Linked DNA regions of Drosophila melanogaster. The protein of the gene in region 2 interacts with the protein of the main gene of each other region in a pairwise test. Each region holds a gene or a part of one and is shown on either strand. Other genes may lie near its edges.

Region 1 (4,064 bases), 6.8 Mb from region 2:
TCCCAATCACAGCTGCTGCCCCCCCCCCCCCCGGAAAATCCAAAAAAAAATGCAGGTGGAAAACTCACCGTTTTTTTGCTGCCGCGGATGTGGCTGCGGATGCTGTGCGTGGGCGGAAGCGGTGGCGGATGCGGATGCCGCGCTGACGTGCGGATCCGGGGCGGAAGAGGATTCGGAATCCCAGGCCCACGCAGGATTCTCAGGGACCCAGAGCTTGCTGCACTGCATCCGGGGATGTGGGAAGATTCGATTTGGCGTCCGTCTTCTTATTTACTTTCCGCGGACTGGCTAGTGGTGGGCAGGGCGGCGATGTAACATCGATAGCTCGCCGTTGTAACGGCAAGCCAAGTCATCGATGGCGCACCAGCGAAGTGCCATCTCTAGAAAGTAAGCAAATAATTAACGTATTTATAAATATTTAAAGTTTATATCTAGCTTATAGTTCCACTATTCGAACCTTCAATTATGGCTTATTTGAGATCATTTTTAAAAATATTTCACTTTTATAAAGATTTTTGGGCAGAGGAAGAAATCATCTCATATTTTTAGCTTTTATATTTATCTTTATTTATTACGTTTATTATAAAAAGTGCCTGCTTAATTTGAAGCTGAAATAAGAATCTTGTGATTCACATTTATTTCACTTAAGGATTATAGGATATTTAATGTTGCCTAATTCTACCAATGTTTCGATGATTTGTGCTTAAATGTTGCAAAAAACAAAAAGTGGAAATAAATAAGTGAACTACTAAACTTTTTAGCGTACGAATTTCAATTCAAGAAGCAAATAAAAAAAAAACTCAATTAGAGGGAGACCTTTTACTTACGATCTAGATGCTTCAGTTTATCAACTAGGCATATCTAATGCGATTAACTATTTCCAGGTTGGCCAACTCCTTACAAACATACAGATCCCGATGGCGACTCTAGTCGCCGCTGGAAGCGCAGCGGCCTGGTATGATTATATATATATATATATGTATGCATTTGCAGTTGCAATCCGGAATTTACTTCATAGTCCGGGCATTACGTAGGCGATGTTGTCGAGCGTGTCGGCCAGATTTTTGCTCAACTGCACATTGTTCTCCATGCCGGGTATTTGCGTGGTCATGCAGAGCAGCGGTCCCATGGCGCAGAGCAGGCTGTCGAGGAGCACGGACAAGCTGCCCGATAGCGCCACGTATCCATTGTGCTTCTTCAGTCGCTCGCCAATCACAGTCAGGCTCTCGCCGAGCAGCTTCAGATGTGCGGCCGCATCGATCACTTCGATGCTGGTCTTTTGCACCTCCTCCTGCTTCAGCTGACCCCCAGTCCGGCCGCTGACGTCCGCATCCGTGTGCACTTGCGCTTGTTTCGTCGCGCTCTTCGAGACCTGCGACCTGGCACTTCGTGTGCTGATGCTGCGCCGCTGTGTGTTGGTGCCAGTCGCTGCTGCTGCCGCCGCTGCGGCAGCCGCTTCTATTGAGGATTGCTGCCGATCGGCGGCCAGTTTTCGAGTGCGACTTGTTGTCGCACGGTTCTGAAAGATCGTCTCGTGCTGCGTGGCATCTGCCAGAGCCGTGCTGCCGTTGCTCGCCGGCTGGGTTGCACCGTTTGCAGCGGTTTTGTCGCGAGTTTTGGCCCTGGACGCCTCGATTTTGGCCTTGCGCCGCCAGGTGTTCTTGTCCCGATTGGAAACGTTCGCCCACAGCTCGCTGAGGCGTCTGGTCGCGCTGGTGAAGTCTGCAAGCGTGCGGGGAATGGTCAATAAGCGATAGAGAGCGCACAGATGTGTAGCAACCTACCTAGATCCTGGAGATCCTTCTGTCGCGCCTCCTTGGCCCACAGACTGTAGGCGGTGTAGCGCTGCTTGCCCTTGTCCTTGCGCTGCACCTTGGCACTCACCACCTTGCCGTCCTTGAGCACCTGCCGCTTGTTGGACTTCTCGCGCATGTAAAGACTCTGACGGACGGATGACTCTTGGCTGGTGGCCTCCGCCTGGACACCATCGACGATATCCTGCACCAGATTGTCCAGTTCATCGTCGGAATTCAGAATGGCCACGACCGTTGCCGTTGTATCCGGATGGAATTCCTCGCTATCCGAGATAATGCCATCATCCACGAGCATCTCCTGGTCAAGATCCAGATCACGCAGCGCATTCGATGGCCTGCCGCGGCCCGAATATCTGGCTGGCTGTCTGGCGCCACTGTGACGCCTTGTGCGCTTCTCGATCTCATCCGGAGATTCAAAATCCAACAATTTCGACGATTTTTTGCGTACGCGTCCGCTGCGCGAAACACCCGTCACCTGGAAATCTAATTGGGAATTTATGACCCCGATTCCATTGACGGCTGCCGCTTTTTCCACTCACCCTTGGCCACCAGGTGCGAGGTTGGGGACTCCATGTTTGGATACCTGCTTTGGAAGATTGGGATGCAATTTGTTGCAAAAAGAACGAATTAAACGAAGCAAACAAAACAGCTGTTTGGTGTGACCAGAGCTTTAAAACGCGATGCATTGCAAGCGATGGTTAAATATGGAACACTAGATAACCATTTTAGTTTTTGAATATATTGCTAAGTTAATAACCATTGCACCAGTCAATTGTACAGAGTAGGAAACCATTAAACTTAATTATTTAATAATATAATATTTTTTATTGTTATATTATTTAAATTATAAGCACAGGATGTGCACGCACAACTTAATTTTTTTATTATATTATTAATTATTTTTATAAACAAAAACATTTACGATATATACGACTGCAATTTCATTTTTATTACAATACATCTAAATTAATATCCAGTTAGCTTGCAAAAACCATCAGCTGGTCACACTGCCGCACCTTTGTTTTGTTTCGACTTTTTTTTTTGCTGTTTGAAAGCGGCTTTTAGTTTATCGATTTGCTTTGCACCTAACTGCGCCAAGCGCCCCATGGCACGCGATTCTCGCCGTTTGTGAGTCGTTTCGCCGGTGGCCCCCAACCCAAGGACATTTTGGCCCCCAGCCGGCCGTATACGCATTTGGCGTTGACCCGCGTCCGCTTTTTTCATGACCAAAACGGCGGCTGCGATTCAAACGAAGCTCAAGCGCAAGCAAAAACATTCGCGCAGCGTCAATCAATCGAGGCGGTACTTAATCGGGTTTAGAGCTATCCATAGCCATGTCAGCGGAGAGGAACAAGAGTGGCGAAGTACGCAGTGCAGCTGGAGGATTGGAACTGGCATCTGCGAGTGGAGCAAGTGCATCCGAGACGGACAATGTGAGCGCCCTTGAACTGCAGTCCAACAAGCGCATGCTGTACTTTAGCGACGGCGTCATGGAGGAGTTGTCCTCGGGCAGCGAGGACGAGGCGGATGCGGAAATGGGCGACAAATGCTACGACGTCCATTTAAACGAGGTACATACATTCAGCAAGGATTATGGGTGGAGTAATGCACTTCCGGCCATCCATTTAGTACATGGTCATGTAGCTGCATTGCTTGTTTACCTTTTTTAAAGCGGGATTGTCCGGATTAACACAGTTAGTTAAATTTGCTCAAGATTAGCCCAGTTCTCCTGATCCAGATAATAACTTTTCACTTTGAGCTCGAGACGTGACTAATGTTCGAAGCGAATTATGATAATAATGTGAGAAATTTTATATCTTTCAATGAAAATGTGTGTTTTGAGCTGTTTAAGTAAACAAACAGGGCCCAGGGCCACGAAAAAGATAAGCAGCTGCCACCCCCCGCCCCCCTCCTCATTGACCATTTAGCGTGACTCATTTAGCCCGCTTTTTTTTTTTTTGCCACCTTTTAGAGCGAAATGCCGCTGGGACCACGCCTGCGTTACAAGGCCAGCAGGATGGGCAACCGATTCCTGGCCGGCATCGACTATGTGGGCGGTGGGCTGGCCCACCTGCTTGGTATCACCAGCAGCAAGTATGCCAGCGAATTGGAGAACTACCACAGGGCCAAGGAGCACGGCGACGAGGACCTTGACAATTGGCACCCGCGGGCCATGTCGACCACGACCAGTAGCAGCAACAACAACAGCAGCGGCAACAACAATCGCAACGAAACCATCGTCCTATGCGA
Region 2 (4,809 bases):
TACACACGCAAACTCGCCCAGCTCGAGGTGCACCTCACGATGAAACTATCTTATGCAGTGTTTTTATTTATTTTCCTTGGATCTTTTTTAAACTACCACGCATGCACTACTCGAACTACCCAATCACCCCCGCGAAACAATGCAGTGGGAACACCACCAACTCCCACGTCCTTATAGGGGATGTGAGCACGACCCACTTGCGCGTGCCACACATATATCGAGAAAAGTGGCCCAGCAAAAGTGAGCACACTTCTAAACCTTGATTGTAATCAAAATAGGCATCTGATGATGAGAGAAAGGGGAAAAGAGTAGAGAGAGTATATGTTCACCCCCTAAGACACATACATATATACATTCTTATCCGGATTCTGAAAAAGGTGGGTGATGAAATTGTGTGAAGGAACCTAAAGTATTGCCAAATTAAAAAGCTCTGCGTTTGTTGGATGTAGTCTTCAGGTTTTCTTTCTAATTATAGAAGTAGGCCATTTTAGAGTCCTTTAAGATTTAAGGCCTACACAGTGATGCCCACAGGTTGCAGTAAGCGCAACTAAACTTTGTGTCGGAAGTTAGCAACACTGTAAAGAAGGCATTTGCGATGTATACTATTCTTGATCAGTGTCAACACCACAGGCGACAAAGCCACGTCCGTCTATACGTGTCTACGAAAATTATTCTCTTAGTTTTAATGTTATATGCTTGCACCTTTTCCAAGAGTATTCTTTGTCTTGCACATGGTATATTATTCGGTACGGAATAATAAAAAAAAAAATAATTTAAAAAAGTGTAGCATCGTTGTTTTAACATCTGTACATATATATACATAAGTATATATATATATATATACATATATACACTTCAATATATTTCGGTTGTAATTGCATCGAGAAGTCGAAAAGTCACAGGGAAATTGAGGAAAAAGAATCCTAGTTTGTTTTTATATTTCGCACAAAGCGTATACTCGTAAAAGCCGTTTTTGACATCATAATTTCGGTTTCAATTTGATCAAAATATTAGAAAAGAAATTATACTCTTGTTGTATCCGATCATAAATTCTTCTTATTCGGTGTTTTCTCAATTTACTATTTAATGTAAGCGTATGTGTGCTTTCGCGTTTTATATGTATTCTTAAGGCAATTTTTAGTATTCGTGAATATTTCATTATTTTTGAATATTTAAATTCTTTAACCCCAGCTTCCGTAAACTCCAAAAAGTTACTGCCGTTTACATCGAAGTATCGTTTATTCTATCTATACATATATAGGAAAATTAAAAATACCTTAAGACACTTTTTTATAATTTTAAGCATGCAAGACTAACAGCCGCAATAATTACCAAATTATGATAAGACAATTTGTTATGTTCTGCAAAGAATTGACCCCACCGTGTTTTTTTACTTTCCCTTTCCCACAATCGAATTTTCTTGGTACTGCTGTTTCTCTCTCTCCCTCTCTTAATTTCCCACCATACTCTTTTTTCTGTGCTGGACAGCACAGCTCTACAAAAATGAAATGATAACAGCGAAAATACAAACGAGAGGCAAGTTACGCATGCGAAGGTTGTCGCGGCAGTGGAGTCGGCGCAAAGACCACCACTGTTCATAGCAATGCAGTGACAGAAATATACATATGTATGTACATATACAACCAACAGTAAGAGTTCGTAGGAGTTTATAGTCGGGGAAACAGGAAAATACCAGCAAAAATGTAATCTTCTTGTTATGTCTAAATTTTTATATTTGTTTGAGCTATTAAATGTTCTTGACTATCTTAAACTCATCTCGAGTAGAAACTATTTTTGTTAGGCATGTGTTTAAATCGGCCATAAAATAAATAAAATACTCTTATTCCTTAGATTTAAAAGATGTAACAAATATAATCTGTAATTGTAGGCTGGCCGTTGCCCTGTTCCAATTGGAACTGTACTTTTATAGCCCACCCCAATACAACCTATAACAGTGGCGTCCTTCACTATTGGAACTGGAAAAACCCAATGAAGGTTGCTGTGAGCTAGCCATCCCGCTCTGTTTATCCATGTGTGTATCTACAAATTTTTCGTCTCTAGGGGGTGGTTTGGGTGTTTTTCGCAACCCCAAAAACGTCAGAATCACACAGACACAGATGCATCAAAAACACGCATACCTTCCAATGCAAATGGGAAATGCGTGTGCTGTCGTGCACACAATTGGAAGTGATACCTGTTTGGCGTTTCTATTCTACAACCCTACTTTACACATCATCCTTCCTATCGGAGTTTCCTGTCTTTGTTTTAACTTTTAGCTGAGGCGCATGGTTAAGTTACGGACACTCGCAGTTGGATTTTCATTTACGGCGCCGATGTAACGGTAACACAAGCTAAATACACCAGCACACATATATGATAACCTAATACACACACACAAGCCAGCAAGAACCGTTAGCTCAGAAACTCCGAAACTTTTGGGCATTCACTTATGCCACTACAAATCTCTATATACACATATAAATTATAGACTGTCACAGTGGAAAATCGGAAAATTTGTTGACCCCTACCACTAGTTTACACCCACATACGCACCTGTGTATTTTTGTTGTTTTTCCAGCTCCTTTATGATAACACACATACACACTCACAAAGAAAAAAAAGGCGCACGCACACGAACGCGCCGCCGCTATTGTGCATTGGTGTGTTTGCCCCTGCGCCGAAAATTTTCTTTGGCGTTTATTTATTATCACACTGCACATGCGAATATTCCGTGCATTTTACATTTGCGCACTGCCGTTTCTAGGTTGTAGCTCCAAAATTTCCCGCTCGCAAAGTTTCGCTGTTTTCCCTCACGATGCTTTTCCGTTAGCTTAGTTTTCAGCTGCCTGTCCCAGCACTTTTCCCCAAGTTTCGACGCAATTTTGCGATTTAATTTAGCCGAGGAATGGTATTTAGTACATGACAAATATCGATATACAGCACGCGTGATTTTTTCAGACGTCGATAATGTACACGCAATACATATCGCAGTCGAAGGAAAGCGGTCACTCTAAAATGCATAGGAGAAACGAGGATTGGCGGTCCCACTAATTGTGCTATTTAAGTTTAAATTCAAGTCCCCCTAGCGGACTTATATTAGTTGAAAAATTGATTGTATATTTTTGAGTAAGCATATAATAATCCATAAATATAATAATATAATAATAATTTTTGATATAAGAAATTTAAGTTTTCTGGTGCCAAAAAGATTTTAGTCTTTCTATGCAGGGAAAATTTGTTCCCTGGGCTTGCCACGTCCTCTATTACACTCACATATTTATAATAGTTTCATATTTATTTAGTTTGTTATTTTTTAGAAGAGTTTTTAAATTTCTCTCTAGCACTCCACCATCTCCGTATCTGATAAGAGACAGTTTATTAGTAGCTTTTTTTAAAGGTTTATATTATGAACGCTACAAAGAATATACAACATTTGATCCACGAATTAATCAGATGTAGTTATTAATGTAACAAAACTTTTAGGATACCCCAAAATAATGGTAAATTTTAAACAGTCGAAAAATTTATTATTCGGGAGTCGAACTGCAATTACACGTAAGCCCTTCACAAGGCAGCTAGCAATATTTAAAAAGGAGTAAGCTAGCCAGGCCAAATGAAAAACTGACATACAATCAACTTCGTATTTCACACGCGGGAAATTTAACAAAAAATAAAAAACAAAAAAATAGTTTAGGGATATGAAATCCTGAAGGATTGGTAAACTAGAACGACCGAAGACGACTAACTGCTTGCCACCAAAAATGTTGGGTTTTTATGTCCGTCGTCGGCACTCACACAATAAAATTCATTATTAGGATGTATATAGTGATAAAAGGAATTGTTTTTTTTTAACACAGATTGCCCGTATGTAAAAACCAAAGAATTCATATTATATAAAAAGAAACCACAAGTTGCTTATCGCTGTGAAATGAGGCTGGTAGTGCGCTTGCACTATGGGGAATTTAACATGTTTTATTGGCATAAATTAATATCTCGTAAACTATTTAAGATACGATGAATTTAGAATTATTTTGGCAAAGTGGGTGCCCCGCCCACTCCCATAAAATTTTTTTTTTAAATCAATATATTCTATCTAATCCACCAATGTATTGGAGTTACACCATGTTTTAGATTGTCCACAATCGGTACAAACTTAAGTCTCTTAACATTTTTATTGATAAAAAAATCTTTCAGAGTCGCATTTCGTACACTTCTATCAGGGCCGCATTGCTGATTGCTACCTAAAAATGTAATCTTCGCGAAAAGTCACAATAAGTAGCATTCGCAAAAGTCGCGTTAACCGTATGTGTTCTAAGTAGGTAATTAATCACTCTAAAACATTGACTAACACACATATCAAAAATTTTTTGAAACTCAATTAATTTTCGTAAGCACTAAAAAAGAAGGTCATCGATGGCACGTGGTTTTTAACATTGATTAATTTACATTTGCGTTACATAACTTAAGCCTTGATCTTAATCCGTTAAGAAAAAAGTGTTCAACAATTGAAACATTTTTAAAAACACATTTATGCCAAAAAACGAATCAAATTCCCCATAGTGGCTTTGGATTTATCTGAAACTTGGCCCTACTTATTCCTTATCGGCAATTCTTCCGGAATTCTACACGAACTGGCCTTATCGGTTCTGCATAATCGAAACTGGCAGTGATCTTGAATTCAGTATTTAATCCAGCTTGGCAACTTAAAACTGAATTGGGTCAAAGGGGTCGAGGCGTGTACTATTTCCGTTTATTTCACAATTGGCAATAATATTCTTCTATATCATTATGAAATTGACCACTGGAAAT
Region 3 (5,033 bases), on a different chromosome or scaffold from region 2:
TGATACAATTTTGGGAGTGTAAAAGAAAATATACATAAATTAGCCAAAAAATATAAAAATACCAGTGTATTCTTGTTTAACGATTGGCCAAATAGAATGTGCATTAAGAGAGCATTTCGACCCTAATAGTTTTCTACTTTCTCTCTCAGTAATACAATCTTATTGTGATGTTTCTGCGTAACGTATCGACTCTTTCTTTGTTGGATGTTTTTAGTGATGTCTACCTCCACGCAATGAACTAAGGAATTTGCAGCAACCCAGGATGATTTGTGGTCATCTTTGTGCGACTCAGATGAGTAAGGCCTATATAGATCAGCCAACAACATTTTTGACAGACGCAAAGAGTATGCTGCAGTCGAGTTTGACGACTAACAGATACCTATTGATAGAAATTGCCAGGACAATTGTTTTATAAATATGATTGGTATCTCTTATTTTTAATTTGAGTTGCCCGAGTCAAAAATCTGAAGAAGCTTTTTTTATTCTTTTTGACCTGCGAGCTACAAAAACCAGGTCCTCGCATAAAACAGATTTTATATCATTTTTTAGTTCTTTTTTTATTATTTAACTTTTTTGTGGATGTCACAATTCTCATCGGGTTTGAATTAAATATTCCACTTTTTATTTAAATTAAATAATAAATTGTCCTATTTAAACTTTATAATTAACATAATTGTAGTTCTTTAGGTCTGTACTATGTTGATTTGTAGTTGTAGTTGTTGCTGCTGCTGCATTTGCGTGCCGGACTGTGACTGAACACAATAATACAGTTTGACATCCTGCAGTGGTTGTGGGTAAGTTGATGGACAGCACCATTACTTGGTCGCCGACTTCAGGTAGGCGATCAGATCGCCGCGCTCGTTGGGCTTCTTCAGACCGGCGAAGATCATCTTGGTGCCGGGGATGTACTTCTTGGGGTTCTCCAGGTACTCGAACAGGGTGTCCTCGTTCCAGGTGATGCCCTTGGCCTTGTTGGCGTCCGTGTACGCGAATCCGGCCGCCTGTCCGGTCTTGCGACCGATCAGACCATGCAGATTGGGTCCAACCTTGTGCTTGCCACCAGCCTCAACGGTGTGGCACTGGGCGCAGCGCTGCACGAACAGCTTCTTTCCCTTCTCAACATCACCAGCAGGAACGCCCATTATGGATTATGTGGTTAATTAATGTGTTAACACGGACTCGACTGTAAAAAGAAATGTTTGTTATTAATGAGTGGTTCATAAAACAAGGGTAACCAATATATCTGTTATCTTACATCTTAGGTTTGAAAAACTTAAAAAACTGGCTACTAAATGGTTCAAAGTTCATAACTGCTACCAATTAATTTGTTCTATTCTGATAAATTGATTACAATATATATTTTATATCATTTGCTTATGTACTTAGTCCGAAATTCTGGTTTCACTGCAAAAAATAGTTATACGATATTTGATACCATTTATTATTAGCCCCAATGAACCATTGTGTAGATACTGATAAAAGCTTCACTTTCAGCCATACATTATCAAAAGATTATTGAATAAATAAACCCGAAATTTAAAATTTATTAACCAGTTGATTTCCCAACGTTACTTATATAATATTATATATTTTTAAGGTATTAAAATAATAACGTCTTTATATCATCAAAAATTTCCATGCTTGGGAAATAATGGGTTAATGTAGGTAGTTATGGACCGTGAATTAATATTTGTCCCCTTGCCCCGTTATGTAAACAATTGATAAGCTCCCTGCGGAAACGGAATTATTAAAATTGCTCATGCTAAGTGCATTAGTCGGCTGTTGTTTCTGATAAGGCCCGAAATTATTATCTAACGTAGTCTGCATTTCCATTTGCGGCCACCCCCTTTTTAACCCACATACTTTGCTCTCACTAATACGCGCGTGGAGGGCGTCGCAACGTCATCAGAAACACACTTTGAAAAAGCTTCAGACGCTGGTCACATGTTGCCCCCACACTCTTTCTCTCCTTCTCACACTCTCTTTGTGTCTCACTCGCTTATATTTGCCAGTCGCCGATTAATTGCGTCAGAACTGCTCAGCAACAGGCGGAAAACTTCCAGGAAGCATCATAATACGAAAAACGTTAGTTGTTTACATAACTATTCTATTATTCCAGGGTCTGTGTTACGGTCATCCTGCTAATTGCCGGATTATAAATTGCATGCAGCAATTTGAACTTGAGAGTGCAAAGTACCGTTGCGGTGAGTAATTCACCTACACATCACGCACATAGACTGAGAGAAATTCGATTAGCTGAAGCTCTTTCAATTCTAGAAAACTAATTTTATTTTATATGCATTTGTCTATAAAAACAAACCTAATATATATAGACTATTGATTTTGTGCGCTTTTACACATAATTTGCATTTAATATCAACCTTTTTTTCACTTCTTTCTGTGTAGAGTATCATGCACTTTGGCAGTGAGAGGTGGCAAAGCAACAACAATGTCAACATCCGATTTGGCCTTGTTGAGTATTTTTCAGTTAATTGCCGTGCGTGAGTGTGCGTGAGATGAAGGGAAAGTGCAATTGGAAAATTGGAAGCAGGCCAAAGGCAGCTGTGTTTTTCCTTGTGTGGGTGAGCAAGGTGGTGAGAACAAAGAGATGAGTGAAAATTGGGCCAACATCCAAGTTTCCTGAGAGCAGCGAATGTTACATAAGCCGCCTTTTCGCAGAGGTGAATTCTCTTTTATTTATATTATAGAAAACTGCACATCGCAGAAAGCAAAACCTGCTTAGCAACCACGTGGCGCGCTTAAAGACTCCAAAGCTGAAGCATTGACAAAAAATCCAAGAATTAATTTTTGCCACTGAGCGAGCGAGACAGCTGATGATCGGGTACGCCACTCTCTTTGCTCATGTAATCGACTCTCTCCGGGGCTTTTTTCAATGGCAATGTGACTTTGGGATGCTATTTTTACTATTAATACACCACTGCTAATATTTGCTAAATAAACTATTAAATATCTAATAAAAAATCACACTTATACACACACACACAAGGACACGTTTATGTAACCTGAATCATCCCCCAAAGAATACGTTAAATTTGCATGCGAATCATTTTCAGAACAAAACACAGCTGCTGGATGTTACGTAAATGACACGGAAGTGTTTCTAATCTTTATCTGACTTGGGGCTTGATAATCAATAACTATTCAAGGTAATATTTACGTCACTTGAAAATACAAAAATTCCACCCACTACTTACATTGAACACAAACGTCGAGCGTCGCCGATTTTTCACGAATGACGAGCGCGCGTTATGTCGATAGGTAATTAGTGTGACCAGAGTGACCGGGGGCCACGCATTAAAAAATGTCGCAAGCTTTTGTACCCGTATTTATCCACCACACGGCGTATAAGTAATTTTTTCCCCTATTAACGGGACTATATTGGAAAGCCTCTGGAAAATTTGCATTATTTAACAAGCTTCTCCAATTTATTACATTTTGCTAGTAGGACCATAAAACCAACTGTGACCAAAGCTGATTGGTACAACACTTTCCTCCACCCGCGTCGCACACAACTTGAATTAAGAAGAGGGTTTTTGGTTTATCAACTTTAATTGGCTAAAGTGAAAGTAAACCTTTTTGAAATGTATTTGAGCTCGACCATTCCCAATCAAAGTTTCGAAATCCAAGTGAAATACGTCATCTTTTGAATATGTTTGTAGTCTTTAAGCGCAGTTTTCTGGATAGCATGGTGGCCGATCTTGTTGTTTCGCAGGCGATTCTACTTGTTTGACTTGAGGAAGGCAATCAAATCGGCCCGCTCCTCAGCCTTTTTAAGACCTGCGAACACCATCTTTGTTCCGGGAATGTATTTCTTCGGGTCCTTGAGGTACTCGTCCAAATTCCCCTCTGTCCAGGTAACGCCCTTCTTTATATTGGCATCGGTATACTTGTATCCCGCTGCTGTGCCACACTTGCGACCCACGACCCCGCCAAGATTTGGGCCCACCTTGTGTTTGCCGCCCACTTCGTAGGTGTGGCACTGGGCGCACTTCTGCACAAATATCTTCTTGCCGTTCTCTGCATCACCAGAACCCATCTTGGAAGCCTGAAAGACAAATAGGGAAAAATGATATTTATGATTTAGAATTCAACTTTTTATGCAGCTTTTATTTCTATATTTTTTAATTTTTTGTTATTTGTTTTTTGTTAATTTGGATCAAATAGAAATTGGTTGATTCCGAAACTATCATGAAAAAGAAAAGTGTAGAACTAAAAATTTGATAGAAAAGAAAAACAGATTCAATTTGTTTCAGTGTCCTAAAAAACCGTTTGAAAAGTGCAAGTCCTGGACAACTGAGAGAGAGAGAGAGAGCGTTTCTCTTGGTCACTCTCTTGGCTGCACAGCGATAGACAGAGACAGCTGCTAATGCACGAAAGCAAAACAAAATTGGGTCAGAAAAATAGGAAAAACGAAAATTAAATCAAAATGGGTATTAAATGAAAAGCAAACAAGCAGCTCGAGAACTTGTCGGCACTTCTAATGGGAAAAGCAACCGAAAGGTAATTCAATTAGCAGACACATTCGGCTTGCCACCCCCTTTCCCAACCAATTCGTTGACTAGCAGATGCACATGTGCTTTGAACATTTCCTTTCAATTAAAACGCATTTTACGCACTCTCCGCTTTCGCCCCCTGCCTTCCCCTCTCTCAACCATTTTCCTGTGGCAAAAACAGATGCCACCGCATAACAAAACCAAAAAAAAAAAAAACAAAGCAGAGGGAAATGAATAACGGGAAAGAGACATGGAACCATGCCGCATACAACGGTCACACAGGGATGATATTCACCTGCAATTTAAAATTTAAAGGATCAATTGAAAATATTAACTATGTTTATCTCAACCAATTATCTTAAAATTAAATTTGTTTTAAATTTACAAGAGTGCATTATGATATTTTTCAGAGAATGATATTATTTATATATTTATATTACGTACGTATGTAAATGTCACATTCTAAATCCAAACAATGACATTTTCCTGGCAGCCCTGCACTGGTATTAGGTGTACTCC

What was found. Proteins that work in one complex are often made in the same cells at the same time.
Region 1: the proteins of ewg (region 2) and CG4617 interact in a two-hybrid assay, tested with the Drosophila melanogaster proteins (one large-scale study listed by BioGRID).
Region 3: the proteins of ewg (region 2) and Cyt-c-p interact in a two-hybrid assay, tested with the Drosophila melanogaster proteins (one large-scale study listed by BioGRID).

The regions. Positions count from the first base shown.
Region 1 is NC_004354.4:7,102,008-7,106,071, forward strand, and holds CG4617 (uncharacterized protein), read right to left. Parts: upstream 2,485-4,064; 5' UTR 2,388-2,484; coding exon 2,354-2,387; intron 2,298-2,353; coding exon 1,785-2,297; intron 1,723-1,784; coding exon 1,013-1,722; 3' UTR 828-1,012; exon of another isoform or gene 703-827; 3' UTR 548-702; downstream 1-547. Other genes in the region: CG8300 (uncharacterized protein), read left to right, coding at 3,149-3,385, 3,787-4,064.
Region 2 is NC_004354.4:276,632-281,440, forward strand, and holds the start of ewg (erect wing), read right to left. Parts: upstream 3,004-4,809; 5' UTR 2,554-3,003; intron 1-2,553. UniProt on the Drosophila melanogaster protein: May function as a positive regulator of transcription in developing and differentiated neurons, regulating common aspects of neuronal differentiation and maintenance. Requirement in the CNS may be higher than in the peripheral system.
Region 3 is NT_033779.5:16,718,159-16,723,191, reverse strand, and holds Cyt-c-p (cytochrome c proximal), read right to left. Parts: upstream 3,261-5,033; 5' UTR 3,216-3,260; intron 1,184-3,215; 5' UTR 1,143-1,183; coding exon 816-1,142; 3' UTR 548-815; downstream 1-547. Other genes in the region: Cyt-c-d (cytochrome c distal), read right to left, coding at 3,740-4,057. UniProt on the Drosophila melanogaster protein: Electron carrier protein. The oxidized form of the cytochrome c heme group can accept an electron from the heme group of the cytochrome c1 subunit of cytochrome reductase.